Canis lupus familiaris: one gene and its partner. The protein of the gene in region 1 interacts with the protein of each later gene in a biochemical or structural test. Links are inferred from orthologs where the notes say so. Each region holds a gene or a part of one and is shown on either strand. Other genes may lie near its edges.

Region 1 (4,447 bases):
AGGTTTTGTTTTGATTTGTTTTCTAAACACTGGCCTTTATTACTGGCATTGTACTTACCAGGAAAACAGTTCCCTTGCTAAAAATGAATCACTACTATTACCAAAGTTTCTCTGTACCACTAAACACTTTTGAACAGTGATAATTTAAAAAACTCTTCCCTGCAGTATCTTAATATCATCAATGAATTACCTCCTTTACATTTTAAAACTAATAATCTTACTTTAAGAGCATTAAGCTCTTAAAATTAAACCAAGTGTGTACAAAATGCTCTCTGGTGAATACACTTAGTTTTAAACCAGTGTGCAAAAGTAAGTATAGAGGAGGCCACTCCAGAAGCAAACTTAATTCCCTTATCCAAGACCTTTGCATTAGACAGATCTCATGCCAGCCTGTCTGACTTCAGACCAAGTCTTCACCCAAAAGGGTAAAGTTCTCTTAGTCAGGAGTGCAGACATCCACTGAACCGTACAAGCTCTATCTAAATCTTTTTCTCATCTGTATCTTAAATCCCAAGACTACTCCCTTCCCCACTCACTTGGTCTCAATTAGGATGTCGGCATTGGTTGGATTCAGCACGGCTTTACATATTAGTTCTTGGGTCACTGGGATCGATTTGTTCATGGACACACAGAGGTCAGAGAGATAATCTAAGAATCTGTCGAGAAAGAGAAAGCAAACAAAACATTTTCTGTAGCCAGAGAGGAGGTTTGGCTCTTGGAGCCTGACTCTGCTAAGTGGACAGTCCATACCTTGGACAAAAGAAATCAGAGACATTTCAGGTTTGGCTGCCAGCATCTACAGCACCACCAGGAACCCAGTCACCATAAGAAAAGAAAGAAAGAGGCAGAAGAGGAAAGCGGCCATGACTGGGGCAGATGGAGAAGTGATGAGGCAAAAATGAAAAGAAGGAAGACATCCACATAAGGAAGCAGTGGATGGAGGGGGACCAGAGAAGTTAGGAAAGGCTCTGAGGCCTGAGTTGGAATCCCTGTGCTGATTCTCCTTTAGTTATGTTCTGATATGCAGTGTGACTTGGAGAAATTTCTTGACCTTGCTGTATTACACTTTTCTCATCCACAGAAGAGGATAATGTATAACCTCAGAGAACTGTCCTGAAGATTAAATAAGCTAATTCATGTCAAGTGCTGGTTTAGTTCACTCCCTGGTACATGAGAATGCTCCACAAGGCATCATTTAACTTCATGGGTGGGAGGAGTCATTTTGTAACAACACTATCAGCTCTCCAGTGTGATTGTTCACGATATCTATATTATAAGCTATTTCCTACTTCTAAAATGTTGTGGATCTTTTTTTTTATATATAAAAAATATTTATTTATTTGAGAAAGAGAGAGAAAGCACGAGCAGGGGAAAGGGCAGAGGGAGAGGGAGAAGCAGACTCCCTGTTGAGCAGGGAGCCCAATGTGGGGCTCGATCCCAGGACCCCAGGATCATGACCTGAGGTGAAGGCAGGTACTAAACCGACTGAGTCACCCAGTTGCCCCAATGTTGTGGATCTGAATCAGGAGAAGAAAAGAGGGAAGAGAGGAAGAAGGTGGGGAGATCTATGAGAATGAGAAATGATAGAATCCTAACATAAAATAAAAACACTCAAGTAACAACTAAGTTTGCAAAAAAAAACTCTTATGATATTTGGGGGAAGTGTTCTAACTGATAATCGGGGGGTACTACATGGTCACTGAGTGGCCAGTGCTATCTGCCATTGACTGAGCATCTACGAAGTACCAGGTACTTCACATGCATTTATTCTCATTCAATTTTCATAACCATCCATTTAGCATAGAAGGAAATTAAAGCTCAAGGGGAAAGTGAAGGTCACCCAGCTGGTAAATGTTAGAGCTAGGATTCCACCACAGGTCTGTTCTTTCCGCTACTCATCCAAGAGCCTCTCAAGACTGGCCTAAATGACATCTGCCTCTGGCAGCCCTCAAAAAGGAAACCCAGCCCAAAGCACCATGACTGGTTTGGTCAGACACATTCTGCCAATCAGGCCCACCTCCGCCTCACCTGGGCTCCCTGTTCTTTCGCACCAGACTGACAAATGTGTCGATCTCAGCAGCGGTGATGTGTTTTTCCAGGAGTTTTCTGTTATTGTGAAGCAGGGCAGTGATGGTGTCTTCGGCCAACACATCGTAGCCAATCTGTTTTTGCATGAAGCCAAACTGCTTGGCTATGTACTCCTTTTAAGGAAGAAAAGAAAGGTTGACAGAGAGACCAAAAAATATTAAGTTCAACCCAAAACTGAGGAAAACAGCAACAGTCCCTGATGAGAATGATTGTTTGTAAGGGAAATCCTAGTGGAGCATCTTTCCACAACTTTCTAATCTAGGATAGCAGCTGCAAACTCCCCCACATCCTTCATTTTACTAAACCTGCCACACAAATGTAATTAAGCAAATTATCCTGTATGTACAGATGGGCATTTTAGTAAGTGCACAGTATAAATATTAATGTGGTGACTTATTTTCCTAAAAGGTCAAAAGCTGTTTTTCAGCTCTGATTTTATTACTAATTCAAGAGGATTTAACTGTGCCTTGCTCCTCTATGCTGCTGAATAAATATACTTAAGCCTACCTAGCTATTTAGAACAATATTACCCCATTCTGTATTCTTTAACTGGGGTGAAAATACATTTTTATAGCCAATGGGTAGCAGAAGCAAGTTAGGAATACCTAAGCCAGTCAACCAGATTCATAGAACCTATGACAACATCTCTGGCTTCTCTCTTTGGGGATCAGACATGATGTTCCATAACAATATATGAGGAACTCAGGGAAGCCTCTTGAAGATATTGCTTCTTTCTATTCAAAAATATTTCCCTTCCCAAGACAATTTGTTTACTGAAAGTTCCAAAAGCCCTTGAAACTTGGCTTAATTTTTTAAAATTAATTCCAAAAACCTAAAAACTACTCAGAGTGTCCACAGTGGACACTGGCCACTTTTCAGCCCATGCTCAATAAGGATGCACATTTAGGAATTCACCAGCCCTCAAAGATACACTTATGCCAAGTGGCATAGAATCCATAAATAATAAGCAGAGATAGTCAATGTAGCAGCAGTAAGAGGGAATGGTTTGGTCTTTTCATGTAGAAGCAAAATGTGCTGGCACACACTACAGGCTCCAATGCATCCTTATCTGAAGATAGCAGAGAAAGAGAATAAAATCTCTTTGGCACTATTTGAGTATGGTATTGACACACCGCAGGTGAATTTAAAGCAATCAGAGCACCCAAAGACCACCTGTCCAGATTAATGAACGCAACATCATAGGTATAGGATACTTTTAATTTCAACAATACCAAAGGCAAAGTCAAAAGCTTAGCAATATTTGCTAACAACATTATATCTAATACTTTAGAGCATTGCTTAAGTTTAATACTATCTTCATGACAAAATATAAAAAACCTTAATTACAGAGAAAAGCTTAAATTTAAAGGCCAGATGTTGAGGCAGTCAAAAGTTTACAAACAAAAGCTTTTTGTAACACAACGCAGAGACTGGGAATCAAGGTTTTCATAAGCATCATCTATGCACCTACAGTACTTAGAGTAACATAGTGCAGGGCCTCTCAACCTCAGCACTACGGACTATCGGGCTGGATAACTATTTGCAGATGGGGATGTCCTGTGCATTCCTGGATATTTAGTAGCATCAGTGGCTTCTATCCACTAGGTGCCAGGAGCACCTCCAAGTTGTGACACTCAAAAGGGTCCCCTGAAATTGTCAAATACTTCCTGGGGGACAATATTAGTTCCAGCTGAGAACTACTAAATGTGTAACACAGTTCACAGGCTTCCTTAAAATACCAAAATAATGGGAAACCCCAGAGAGGTTAGAACATTTATTTCATGGGGAGAGGATAATATATATAGTGCCATGACATAGACAAGGACTTAGAATGTCATAAAATATGAGCCAAAATCAAAATAAAGTTACCAGCAGACATGTAGACTATGGAAGGGAGCAGGAAGAAAAGATTCCACTCTTCCTTTAATATAAACCCATGTAATCATTTTCCATAAGGCAATAAAAATGTAATACCAATGCCAAAAGAAAACTCTCATTGAAAGGTGGCTGCAGAAGGGAACTTCTCTGGCATCTTTCTTAAGGACTCTATCTTCTGAGGCTTGCAAAAATTTATTTCCTTTCTAAGCGTGAACTTAATAAACTAATCTCTAGTCATTAAGTAACTATAGATGTGAGACTTAAAACTCATGAGGCGAGTACATGAACTTCAGGGATGAAGCTGCCCATTACTTCCCATCCATCCCGAATACCAACCTGGTTTTTTCTGTAGTCTTGCTGGGAGTGTCTCAGGACCCTGTAGCAGAGCCGGCAGATATGTCTGAATGGGGCATGCCGCTGATCCCCAAGCTCCTCCAGCCGCAGCATGGGGCCATCGCCACAGTCTGTGAATGGGGCTTGT
Region 2 (4,447 bases), on another chromosome or scaffold:
GCCTCTCGCAACTCACTGGTGCTTATCTCTCCGTCACCATTGGTGTCAAACTAGAGAGGGCAGGGAGCAGAGAGGGGTAGCTCCAATGCCGGGAATGTAGAAGCAGATCCCAAGGTTGGGCTCTTTTTCCAGCCTCATTGTCCCCCAGCTCCAGAAACCCTTCTCTTTCCAAGCTCCTTCCCCTGGTACGTGATCCAGGGCTCAGGTTTCTCTTCAAGTAACCATCCTGGAGTTGGAATCCTAACAATCACCCCACCACCACCTCTGTCTGTCCAGGGCCCATTACTCACTTCTCGGAAAGCATCTCGAAGTTCCTTCACTCCAATCATATCTGCTGTTTCCGCCAGGAGTTTAGGTCCCATTAGCTCTACAAAGTCATCAAAATCCACATGGCCACCCACTGGAGACAGAGGAAAGGGCTAGGTCATTCATCCAACTACTCCCTCATCTCTAATTAGGCAAAGGAAGGCACTGTGAACCTCTCCTTGACCTATTCAGTGCCAGGTCGAGGGTACAACCAAAGGCCAAATGAGGACAGAGAAGTGACCATGGACAGGTGGTTTATCAAAGAATGGCTCAGGGAAGGGATGCCTGGGTGGCTCAGTGGTTGAGTGTCTGTCTGCCTTTGGCTCAGGTCATGATCCCAGGGTCCTGGGATTGAGTCCCACATCAGGCTCCTTGATGATCAGGAGCTTGCTTCTCCCTTTGCCTATGTCTCTGCCTCTCTCTCTGTGTATATCATGAATAAATAAATAAAATCTTTAAAAAAAAATTTTTTTTTTCAGAGACAGAGAGACAAAGACAAACAAGCAGAAAGGTAGAGAAAGCAGAAGTTAGGAGCATCTGGCCCATATGCCCCAGGGCTTACTCTTGTCCTGCAAAAGGAGGCTCACTCCAATAAGATCCCAAAGCAGGTAGGAGTGCTGGAGCAGTGACACACACCCCACCCCTTGCTCACAACACCTTTCAGCCACTGACTGACAAAACACCTGGCTTGGAGAGGCCAGGGCTCTAACCTCAAGATGGGCACAGTACACTAACTCCCAGAGCTGCCTGGAGGAATGAGATTCTCAATACTAGTGGTGCTAGCTGGCTTGAGAGTTCACCCCCTGTGGGCTCCTTCTCTTTGTGGCCTCACTTCCCTATTCCCTGTTGACCCTTCTCTTCACCTTCCAGAGAAACTGCTTGTACCCAAATCCTTGTCTCTGCGGTCTGCTTCTAGGAGAACCCAAACTAAGCCAGAGAATAACAAAGGAGTAATGGCTTCCCTTCTGTTCAACAGCCCCTGTAGGCCACATGCAGGGCTGTGTGGCAGGTACTCCCTCGCTGACTTTCTGTGCTCCTCTCATTTCACAGATTACAGCAGAGGAAACAGGCCCAGAGACTCTAAGCAGTTTGCTCCAGGTTATAGAAGCTGGCCCAGAGCTGAAATCAGCCTGTGTGACTGCAGAGGACTGCGAGGGTAGGAATGGGAAGGGCAGGTGGTGCCCAGGGGAGGGACTCACGGTTCATGTTGATCTGTTGGGACAGCTCAATGAGCTCCATCTCAGTAGGCATGTAACCCATGGTGCGCATGCAGTTGCCCAGGTCCCGGCAGTTGATGTAGCCGTCCTTGTCCTTATCAAATTCTCGGAAGGCCTCTCGGAGCTCTGAGAGAAAGAACAAAAGTGGGCACAGCTAGACAAAAGGATAAAAGTGGGACTTGTGAAGCCTCTGGGCAGAGGCAGCCCAAGCCCCACCCCCACCCCTGTCCCTGAGCCAGAGCCTAGAACTGCCAGGACTACACTCCCCTGATCCTCAGCGCCCCACAGACAATGCCCAGCCCTGTACCAGGCCACATTCCCAGAAGGCCAAGATGTCTCTGCCTCTCTTCACACCAGTATCCCTTCCCTCACCTTCCTGGACAGCTGAGCAACCCTTTCCCCTAAGGGGCTGGGTCTTACCTTCAATCTCCTCTGGCCGCAGTGATCTGTCCTGAAACAAAAGAATGTGTCCTATTAGCAGCTGTAAGGGGCCTAGAGGTCACAAAATGCCCAGGCTGGGGACTATACGAGGGACAACGAGCACACTGGGTGGAGGGAGGGCCAGCACACATCTTTGAGGGGGAAAGGTGCAGCCCACATCTCTCATAGACACAGAAGATGCCCAGGGACCCCAGAGCCCCATTCAACCTGCGTACAGAAACTCTGTGTCCCCATTCCAGACACCAGAATGTGTCAGAGGACAGAGTTGTTCTGGAGGCAAAACCCTGTAAATAAAGTGGAGTGGACGGGTTGCTGTGGGTTACAACAGAAGGAAGGCCTGCAAGGCAATGGGGAAAGGGCTGGAGGGACAGAAAGCCAGAACTGGACAGGCTGCCAGAGAGGGAGGGAGAGGAGGAGGAGGAGGAGCCAAGGGTGTGGAGGCAGAAGTAGGGCATCGCCCACCTTCTCCCACCAGACCCTCATCCTACCTCTTGCCTGTAATGGGACACGGCCTAGGACCCTGGGGGCTGCCGGTGCTGCTGGCTGCTGCCAGGGTCCAAAGCACACATCTCCAGCTTCGCGCAGAGCCCAGGTCTCCTTGGGGACTCAAGGAAACTCTGGGTCTAGGCATCTGGACAGATGGCAGAGAAGTCTCCAGAGAGCAGGCCCAGAGGATACATGGGGTAGACTCTGGCTAGTGAGGTGCCAGTCACCCCAGGCCTTCCCAGGAGGCAGACAGATCAGCATGAAATGGATGCCCAGCCGGACCTGTTCAGTAGGCCCCAAAGCTGGCACCCACAGCACATCCTCCCCACGTATCGCAGCTCTCTGACTTCTGGCAGGTAGAATGTGGCAGGGTGTGCCCACCCTGAGTGAGCACATACCAGATGCGGGCACACCCCTCCTGAACACAGACACGCAGGCGGGCCCCAGTGAGCATGAAGCATCTCAGCTGGGCACGCTGGCTGTTCTAGCCAAGGGGTCAAGGCAGCAAGAGACAGCTTTTGCCCACCCACTGCAAGCTGGCCCCATCGCAAGAGACCCTAGCTATGAAACTCAGAATTTTCTAGAAAGGGGCTGCTGAGCAACATCTCGTGAGACAACCAGGTGCACAGGACCTCAGGCTCAGAAGTGGCTAAATGTGACAGGACAGTGTTGACAGTGTACATGAGCTGTGAATGAGCAGGCTACACACTACCCCGTTCAGCATGTGGCATTTCTAGGTGAGGGCAGGATTCACTGAAGGTATGTGTATGTCTCCGCAAGATGATGGTATGGACTTCCACCATAAAACCTGTCACCGTGTACACTGCGAGTGTTGTCACTCCATTCCTAGTCACACTTGGATCTTGGGTGGCCAAAAATAATGATTTTTGCAAAACCCTGTACCCCCAATAAGTGAAGTGAGTAAATAGGTGAGTGTATGTGTGTACATACCCGTGCAGAGTGTATTCGCTAGGACAAATCACTCAGATATGAGTCCTTTCCCACTCTTCAAGCCTCAAGCAGCCTCTCTTTCTCCAGGACCCAGCTCTACAGGATTGGAGAGGAACAGGGTGCTACCCTACTGCAGCCTCCTCCCCTTCTTGCATAGCTGGAACCAGGGAGCAGGCAAGCCAGGTACCCCTTCTCGGTGTGCCTCTGGCAAAGTCCAGGTGGCCAGCCCTTGGATCACATGCTCCCCTTGTGGAGCATTTGGGGGTATGTGTAGAAGAGCCACAGGTGCACACCAATGTGTTAGGGAAACCGTGAGCACCATCCCCAGGGGTCAGACGGGAGGAGAGTACATGCACATACTAGCACATACTGTCTCCCCAACGTATGCGGTTTGGAAGAAGAGCTCAGCCTCCAGAGCCAGACAAACTCAAGTGCAAAGCCCAGAGTTGCTCCTTCCTAGCTGTGGGACCACAGGCAGGTCACTTCAGCATTCTGAGCCATGGTGTCCTCATCATAAAATAGGTTAATACCAGCACCCATGTTACCGGGCCTTTGCGAGCATCCCATGAGACAATATCTGTAAAGTATTTAGCATGTGGCATTCAACAAGTGGAACCCTCAAATGTTTGTATCTGTAACATCATCACCCTCCTCCTGTGACTGTTCAGATATCTGAAGGAGGCTGCCGGGATATAGTAGCTGCTTGCGGCTATTTAAATTGGAATAGGAAGCAAATGAAATGAACAATTCAGGTCCTCAGTTGTACTAGCCACTCTCAAGTGCTCAATAGCCACATGTGGCTGATGGCTACTATATCGGGCAGCATGGCTTGTAGAATATTTCCATCACTATAGGAAGTTCTCCCGGACAGGCCTGTGTATTCAGAACTGCTGTTAAGAGAACAGGGAGCCTTTGCATCAGACTTCCCGGGTTTGAATCCAACCTCTACACCCACTAGCTGTGATCTTGAACATGTTTATCTCTCCAACTCAGTTTCCTTATCTGTAAATGAGAGATGATAATAGGACTTACCTCTCAGAGCTGCT

The links.
Region 2: the proteins of ITPR1 (region 1) and CABP1 form a complex in vitro, tested with the Homo sapiens proteins (2 studies listed by BioGRID). The link is inferred for Canis lupus familiaris from reciprocal best matches to the Homo sapiens genes ITPR1 and CABP1.

The regions. Positions count from the first base shown.
Region 1 is NC_049241.1:12,983,468-12,987,914, forward strand, and holds part of ITPR1 (inositol 1,4,5-trisphosphate receptor type 1), read right to left. Parts: coding exon 4,303-4,447; intron 2,202-4,302; coding exon 2,029-2,201; intron 657-2,028; coding exon 537-656; intron 1-536. UniProt on the Homo sapiens protein: Inositol 1,4,5-trisphosphate-gated calcium channel that, upon inositol 1,4,5-trisphosphate binding, mediates calcium release from the endoplasmic reticulum (ER).
Region 2 is NC_049247.1:16,859,726-16,864,172, reverse strand, and holds part of CABP1 (calcium-binding protein 1), read right to left. Parts: intron 1,975-4,447; coding exon 1,944-1,974; intron 1,650-1,943; coding exon 1,506-1,649; intron 401-1,505; coding exon 291-400; intron 51-290; coding exon 1-50. UniProt on the Homo sapiens protein: Modulates calcium-dependent activity of inositol 1,4,5-triphosphate receptors (ITPRs). Inhibits agonist-induced intracellular calcium signaling.